Coturnix japonica: one gene and its partner. Each later gene encodes a partner of the first gene's protein in a complex. Links are inferred from orthologs where the notes say so. Each region holds a gene or a part of one and is shown in the gene's direction. Other genes may lie near its edges.

Evidence for each region. The genes of interacting proteins can lie anywhere in the genome.
Region 2: the proteins of NRIP1 (region 1) and RORA are in contact, whole or in part, in a crystal structure (PDB 4S15), measured with the Homo sapiens proteins. The link is inferred for Coturnix japonica from reciprocal best matches to the Homo sapiens genes NRIP1 and RORA. Residues at the interface, in NP_001426204.1 of Homo sapiens: Thr499, Leu500, Leu501, Gln502, Leu504, Leu505, His507; in NP_599023.1 of Homo sapiens: Gln332, Val335, Lys339, Phe344, Met345, Gln349, Gln352, Ile353, Leu356, Pro505, Leu506, Glu509, Leu510.

Annotation. Positions count from the first base shown.
Region 1 is NC_029516.1:88,468,395-88,472,503, reverse strand, and holds the start of NRIP1 (nuclear receptor-interacting protein 1), read left to right. Parts: upstream 1-1,309; 5' UTR 1,310-1,582; intron 1,583-1,598; exon of another isoform or gene 1,599-1,617; intron 1,618-2,113; exon of another isoform or gene 2,114-2,297; intron 2,298-4,109. UniProt on the Homo sapiens protein: Modulates transcriptional activation by steroid receptors such as NR3C1, NR3C2 and ESR1. Also modulates transcriptional repression by nuclear hormone receptors.
Region 2 is NC_029525.1:4,146,547-4,150,046, forward strand, and holds part of RORA (nuclear receptor ROR-alpha), read left to right. Parts: coding exon 1-151; intron 152-2,829; coding exon 2,830-2,951; intron 2,952-3,500. UniProt on the Homo sapiens protein: Nuclear receptor that binds DNA as a monomer to ROR response elements (RORE) containing a single core motif half-site 5'-AGGTCA-3' preceded by a short A-T-rich sequence.

The DNA of each region.
Region 1 (4,109 bases):
TAAAAAATGAAAGATCATTTCTTTACAAACAGAATTTGTTAATGAGGCTCCCGTGGAAAGGAACAGCAGAACTAGTTGTTTTACTGGCAGCATGGTCTGGTGATATGGTGAGACATTCTCCCAGAGAAAAAGAGGCCGTTGTGTATAAAATGTGACACACAGTAGCTTTAGCAAACGCTGCTGCTTTTCTGGAAAAAAAGAAAAAAAGTGGTTAAAAACACATGATGATGAAGTTAACCTAAATCTTTCATTGGCTTAAAAAAATAGGTCAAGTAATACATTAGTAGCTCTGCTGTAAGCGCATACACAATCCACGCATTCCAAAGGAAAAGGGGTTTTCTCCACATTCCTACGTGCACTTCAGCCGTGGTATCTGTGAGCTCAAGCATTTGGCTTTTCACAAACAGGACTCCCTTTTGCTTTCCTTAAGCAGAAACTCGTATGTTCTTTCATGATATCAGCCTGTTACTAAACCACACTTGGGTACGCCACTTATTTTACATGAGTTTCAGAACCAAAATATTGGCATACGTTAGTACAGATATCATCGTGCAGCGTATAAATGATTTGTAAACAAATGTTTCTCCTTGCGATCCTTAACTTCTAAGAGAAGTGTCACAAAGAGTTCTGCACACTGTTTAAGAAATGCTTTACACAGCATCACGGCTCTCTTTAAACACAGGCTCTGCTCTGTCCATGGATGACGTGGCTGAGGTCATGCACTTTCTGTAGTTCGACTAAACAGACAGTCTGGTGTGGATCTACTGACTCTTCGACTATTCTTTGATGGGAACGGAGTCTACAGAAAACCTTGACTGCTAACAGACTCATAAGGTACTTTCTCACAGCACAGTCCTGCGTGGATGCCCTGTGCCAAGATGGAGGACTAGTTCTCTTTGGAGGCCCTGTCCCAGGTTGTTCTCACGACCTGTTCACTTACTGGGGCGTGGGTCACTCCATGTTTTCATAGGCTGCCACAACCCCAATTCTCAACACCTGACAGCAGAGGAGAGGCTGCTTCCATCTGCGTGAAGCCCCTGGCAGTGGAGATGCACAGGCCGCGGGCTGAGGTGTGTGCTCGGAGCTGCGAGGGCCAGGCCGGGGGTCAGCGGGGCCGGGGGCAGGAGAGGAAAAAAAGTTTTACAGTGGAAAGGCTGCAAAAAGAAGCTCTAAAGCGGTAACCACAGGAAGCCTCCCCACGTTATGCTTAACAAGCAAGGGGGGTGGGGGGAGTGGGGAAGAGAAATTAAAAAAGGTGTTATTTCGAAGCTTTTTTTTATTAAATATAGGTCCTGCGGTGAGTTCGCTCCCGGGGCTTCACGAGCGGCCCAGCAGCGGGAAGGCGGCTGACGGCCACCTGCCTGCCCCAGCGCCCGGGAGCGAGAAGGGTTAAGGAACTTGGCGGAGGAGATGAATGGCGAGGGGGGAGGAGGGAGGAGGAGGGGCCGGGCTGCGCCGCGCCGGGCGAGGTGGAAGGCGGGGAAGATCGCGGCTGCGGGTTAGGCTTTGAAAGTCAGCCTCACAGGCATTGCAGCAGAGCCCCGAATCGCGGAGGGGAGCGGCGCAGAGCTCGGCTCGCTGTGTACGTGTTGCGGGGCGAGGGCGCGGGGAGGCTCGGTGCGTCTAATAGTCGGGGACGGGGGGCTCCGAGCTCGGAGCCGCCGCTGTCCGCGCTGCCGGAGCCCCGCTGTCCGCGGTGAGGCGAGGCCGGCGGGTGAGCGCGGCGGGCGGGGACGGGGCGGCGCGGCGCTGCGCTGCCGGGCGGCGGCGGGGAACAATGCCGGGGTGAGCCGGGAGCGGGGTGGTCGCGGCGGGGAGCGCTTCCGGTGGGGCGGGCTGGAAGTTACCCGGCCGCGGGGCTCGGCGAGCCGGAGGGGCGGAAAAGTTAGCGGCGTTTAGCGCGGGGCCGGCCGCAGCGCCGCTCTCCGCTCCTTCTCCCCTCGGCGTGGATTATTTCGGGAGTCGCAGCCGGCCGCGCAGCGCCCGAGGGGTCGGGAGGCGCCGCCCGGGGCAGCGCCGGGACGCGGCCTCGCTGCCCGCCCTCCCGATGGCCGCCGCCTCCCGGCCCCCGCTGCCCCGGTACGGCCGCTGCTCGCTCCACCTCCACCTGCGGGCGCGCAGCTCCCTGCCCGCCGCCACGGGGCTGCGTGCTCAGCGCCGGCGCTCTCGCGGCCCCGCGGGGACGTCGCCGTTCCCCTTCCAGACCAAAGGTTACTGTGCGGGCGTGTGTTGTTGTCCCCGAAGCCCTTTAAAAGGTGATTTCTCCCTGCGGAACGCGCTGTCGGAGGCTGCTCTGTGTAAGTGTCAGCGGGTAATTAACTTGGAACGGAGCGAAAGCTGGGGAAACGTGGTGTCGGAGCGTGGACGGAATAAGAGGAAGCTTCCTCAGTGCACGCAGCCTTGTGTCTGTGCCGCATGTCTGTTTATTATAGGCTCTTAATTTTAAGAAGAGTTAAGCTAAAATGCTTGACACGTGTTGAAGATGTTGGAAGGGAAAATAATATTAATGAAGCAGCGCGATTCCCGTCTTTGGCGGTGCGGTGATGTTGGAGAAGGTGACGTGGAAGTTGTTCTCTTCTGCCTCATCTGTCTGCAATCCAGGAGCCGGGCTGCCCTGGGCTTCCTTCGGAGGGAGCTGGGCGCAGCGCTGGGTGCTCACTGCCGCTGAGTGGAATTTAACTGAGTCATGGCACGGTGCGTGTTTAGAGGTGCTGTACCGCTCCGTTTAACGGAGAGGGCAGATGTGGTCTGCGAGACGCAGGGAGACTCCTTGGAGAGCTGGGGCGTTCCGAGGGGAGCAGCAGACCCACACCGACCTGAGGAGCGCTGCCACGGGCCCGGCTGATCGCTGCCCGGTGGCACATCCAGAGGCCCCGTGGTACGGGCTCACCCGGCTGGGAGCGCTTGTGGCTTAGAGCTGATCCGATGGCATCTGAGTAATTGCTGCTCCGCGGGCAGCAGGAGCAGGCGCTCGGAGAGCAGGAGTTCGCAGTCAGAGCTGCGTTCGAGCAGGGCTCTGGCTCTTGCTGCTGGGACAGCTGTCTTCCTGAGCTTGTGGCTGAGGAAGTCTGCCCTGTTGCGTTATCAGCACTCGTATGGCCTGAGATAGCCTCCAGAATAAAGCAGCTGGTGGCTTTTTTTTGTGTGTGTGCTTTAAATCTGTAGATGGATGGGTGTATGTTTTTGTCAGCAGGAAGGAAGAACTAACAAGTAGGCACTTGTTACCCTTAGCTGTGTGTTTTAGGCAGGGCTGGAAGCTGGCCTCCTGTTGGACTGCCCTGCCTGTAGCTCTTAGTGATCTAACCAGGGGGATCCCGGCAGTGGCTTTTTTGTTTACCATGTGTGCACAGAGTAAAGGAGCTGTCAAATGCCAAACCGTGCTGCATTATTATTATTTACTTAAATAACTTAAGTGTGTGTCCCCTTCCTCCCCCTTCCAAGTAGATATGGGATAAAAAAATATCAAATGAGACACGCCTTCCTCTTTGCTCCACGTTTCTGCTTCTAAAGCCACAGATACACTAAACGCAGCTGGAGAGCAGAAATGACCAACGTTTATTATAGTCATAGAAAATACATTCATAAAGAATTGAAAGCGAACTGATATTTTTTAATTGTAAACAGGTGATTGATAAGGGTTGGTGGTATCACCTTGATGGTCAGTAGTCTGCTGTACGTAGGATGAGTTCTGTAATGTGAAAGACATTAAAGACTTTATATTTTTAAAACTGATTCACTAAAGGTTGTAGAACTCAGATGTGGGTTAGCCTACTGGTAGGTATTTGCTTGTAGCTGTTATTTAACATTGGGCTGTTTTTTAATTCATTGGTAAAAGCTTGTTTACTTGTGTTAAAGCTTATAGCTCACTTTTTTTTTCTCCTTTTTCTTTTTCCCTGTATTTGAACGTTGGCAAAAGGTTTCTGCAGTGCCAGCTGTATTATTGTTAGCCATGAGAGCACTGTTAATTTTACTGGTGACAGTGCAGGACACACTCAAAGATAAACTATGCCTCGCATTGTGTGGAGCACATGTATAAACTTGCCCAGGGCAAAGCTGGGGAGTTACATTTCCCACAGTCAGCTGCCTTACTCAACCCTTGTGCTCCACAC
Region 2 (3,500 bases), on another chromosome or scaffold:
GACATACAACCTTCTCCAGATCAGTCGGGTCTTGATATTAATGGAATCAAACCAGAACCAATATGTGACTACACACCAGCATCGGGCTTCTTCCCTTATTGTTCTTTTACAAATGGGGAGACCTCTCCAACTGTGTCCATGGCAGAATTAGGTAATGAGAGAGAAAAACTTCCATTGTAATTGTCTTGATAGTACCCATTAAAAAATAAAATGACACATTTAGCCAGGTGATAGCGAGAATGCTGCTTCAGGACAGCTGTGAGCATGTATGGGCATTCTTCTGTGAAGTGCACAATACCCTAATTAGTTGTGGTGCATGGTTGAACACAGTACAGAAGTGGACTAAAAGCCACATAAGCTTGTCGTTGATCAGATCTAGTAGTATTGTTTTTGTTTTCAATTCATGTAATAGCATGTTCTGTATACTTCTTAACAAGATAATTGGTTGTGCTGAGGAAATGGAGTATTTCTTTATTTGAAGATTTATATATATATTTTTTAACATTTAATCTTCTTTTTTATTAGCTCAATTCTCTGTTTCCTAACAAAAAGTTATATGGACTATTTTTTTTTCTGCTCTTTACCTGTACCTGGGGAATGTGGAACCAAAACATCAGTCTAATCTGAGGGCAGTTCACCATTCTAGTGGCTGAACAGAATCTGGCTCCAGACTTGAGAAAAAATTTCAATGTAGCATGTTTTGACAGTTTCCCTAAGATCCGTATATTAACCGCATTAATTAGCACATTTTCCTTTAAACTTTCCCCTCAGTGATTATAGGAAGGCTGAATTCCATTACTATGACTTGTTAGCATCTGGGTCTTATGTTAGAGAGCCGTGTGTCAAGTGGTTATAAGCAAAATGAAGCAAGACGTTACAGAAATGACTTTAAGATTCTGGTACTTATACATGCAATCAGGAGTTTAAAACATTTATTTTGTTTGTTTAATGGCATTTTTTTCTACATGTTTCAATATGAAAATGACCTAAAAATTGAAAAAATTATCTACTTCAAGATAATCTGTCACTTTTGTTGTCGGTTTTAATTAGAGGCAAGTATTTGGTGAGAAATTCTGCTTGTTTTAGTTTATGTTCTTCTGAGAAATTTTGCAGAGAGAAAGGGACAATATTTTTCATGTCCTTATGTTGTAGAGTGCAGTTCTCTGCAATATTATGTGTTGTGACAGCCAAAACATTGCATCTCACTTGAGTTCAAACACCTCCAGTAACAGATGAAGTAAAAGCAAAAAGAAAAAAACTAAGATAAACACTATTCTTACAGCTTTGTCTCAGTCAAGTGATTGTTAATGTTCTCATGGGAATTACTAAATGATGAACATTAAAACTACAGAAAAAAAGAAAGGGCTTTTCCTTCTTAGGCCAGGTATTCAGTTTGGAGCACTAGCATAAGATAAGTTTGTCATATTCCTTACCTTTATTTACATAGTGATTGCATGTAAACCCTATGGAACGTGATTTGGTGCCCAGCACTGACATTGCCCAACAACCTCTGAAGAATGTTTGTCTTCTAGACTGATGTTTCAATTTAGGAAGGTGGGGCTGTTCAATGAAAGTATTTAAGTGTATGCTTAAATACAGTCCAGAACTGAGGCTGAGGTTAGTGAATAACATGGTAATATTTCACTTTCTGTATCCTGCAAGGGCATAGGAATAATGCTGTCAGATGCTGACAGTAAGAAAAATAAGTGTTTTAAGTACACACTGGTCAACAAATATTGCACTGAAATACACCAAAGCTCTACACCCATGTTCACGATCACCAGCCTTACTCAGTTCCAACAAGCAGTGGGACACCACCCACTAGATCACGGTGCTCAAAGCTCCATGCAGCCTGGCCTTGAGCACTTCTAGGGACAGGGCATCCGCAGTTTCTTCCCAATATCTGATCTGAACCTATCCTCTTTTAGTTTAAAGCTATTACCCCTTGTCCTGTCACTACACTCCCTGATAGAGTCCCTTATCTACCCATTACTACCACATTATTCTCTGCAGGGCTGATGTTTTGGGACCGCCCCCACTCAGATGCAGGACCTTGCACTTGTGGCTTTAAGCTTTCCTTTTAGCAGCTGGTCTAATCTGCAGAAGTACCAACTGCAGAACGGTGTGAGACAAGTCTACTTGTCATATGCTAAAATATGAGACAAGACAAATACAAAGAGTCAGGGCAGAAAAGTGGAAGACTTTTAAGACTGAATACTATTTCATAGCATAATTCTTAGCCCAGGTTTCAAAGCTGACTTTATTTTACTAAAAGCAGCAAGACCTCTTACTGAATTGACAGGAGTTTGAATGATTTCACAGAGTTTTGCCTTTATCTCTCAAGCTTTTTGATCTTGCAAGCTTTCTTTGGCACCTGCTGCCTTGTAGGAAGTAAGTTTGTCCCAAATACAGTATTCTTTATTCAAAAATAAATTCAAGTCCACCTAAATATCTTAAAAATTAGTGAAAGGATTCTGCTTTGTGTAACTTAAAATATCAGAGCTGCATTGTGAGTGTAAGCAATGTGTGTGTGTGTGTGTGTGTGTACAGAGTGCCCTCTAATGGCTGCATTGGGCCCATGAGGAGCTAGGCAAGGTATGTTAACATCCAGAATTCTGTTTTGTTTACTGCAGCGTTAGCAGTTTGCATTGATTTATTTTTAAGGGAAAAAAAAAAAAAAAATCCAAGGAGATATTAAATTAAAGCATTTCTTTTAACAGCTAAGCTTTCCTGCAGCTCCCAGTTGTAACTGGAATATGTTCATCTTCTCATGTCTGAAGGTATAGCTTTGCATTTTTAATGTGTGCAACTTTCTGGTCTTTCCTTTAGAACATCTTGCACAGAATATTTCCAAGTCTCACATGGAAACTTGCCAGTACTTGAGAGAGGAGCTACAGCAGATAACATGGCAGACTTTTCTGCAGGAAGAAATCGAGAACTATCAGAACAAGGTATAAAAGCATGCCAAACTCTGGCATGCTTTTTTAAAGCATGGTTTTTCCATAACACACTGAAAAAATCACTTTTTCACTGCTTTCTGTTCAGTATCAGGAACGTACATTTTTGTGTGTTTTCAAAACAAAAATGAAACAAAAAAACCTGCTAGAATCAAGATGAGCAAGGTGGTTGCAATGTGGTTTGTGATTTTGAATTTATGATTTTAACCATAAACACAGGGAAATGTAAAGCTCTGGAAATACATTTGTCTGTAATTGATAAAATGGGATATAAAACTAGAGAATTTTTTTTCTCGCCAACATGGCATGCTATTTACTATTGTTACACTGTAATCTCCCTAATCATTCCCACATTCCCCCCCAACAACAAACTAGTTCAAAGCACCAGGTTATAACTGTAGAGTCCTTTACAGCTGACCTGTGAAATACTGATCAATACCAGGACATGCATCGGTCTTACTTTGTTTCCATTCCTATCTGGTAATTGAAAACCTGAATAGGAGCCAGTCAAAAAGCCATTGGCTTGTTTGACACTTTATAATT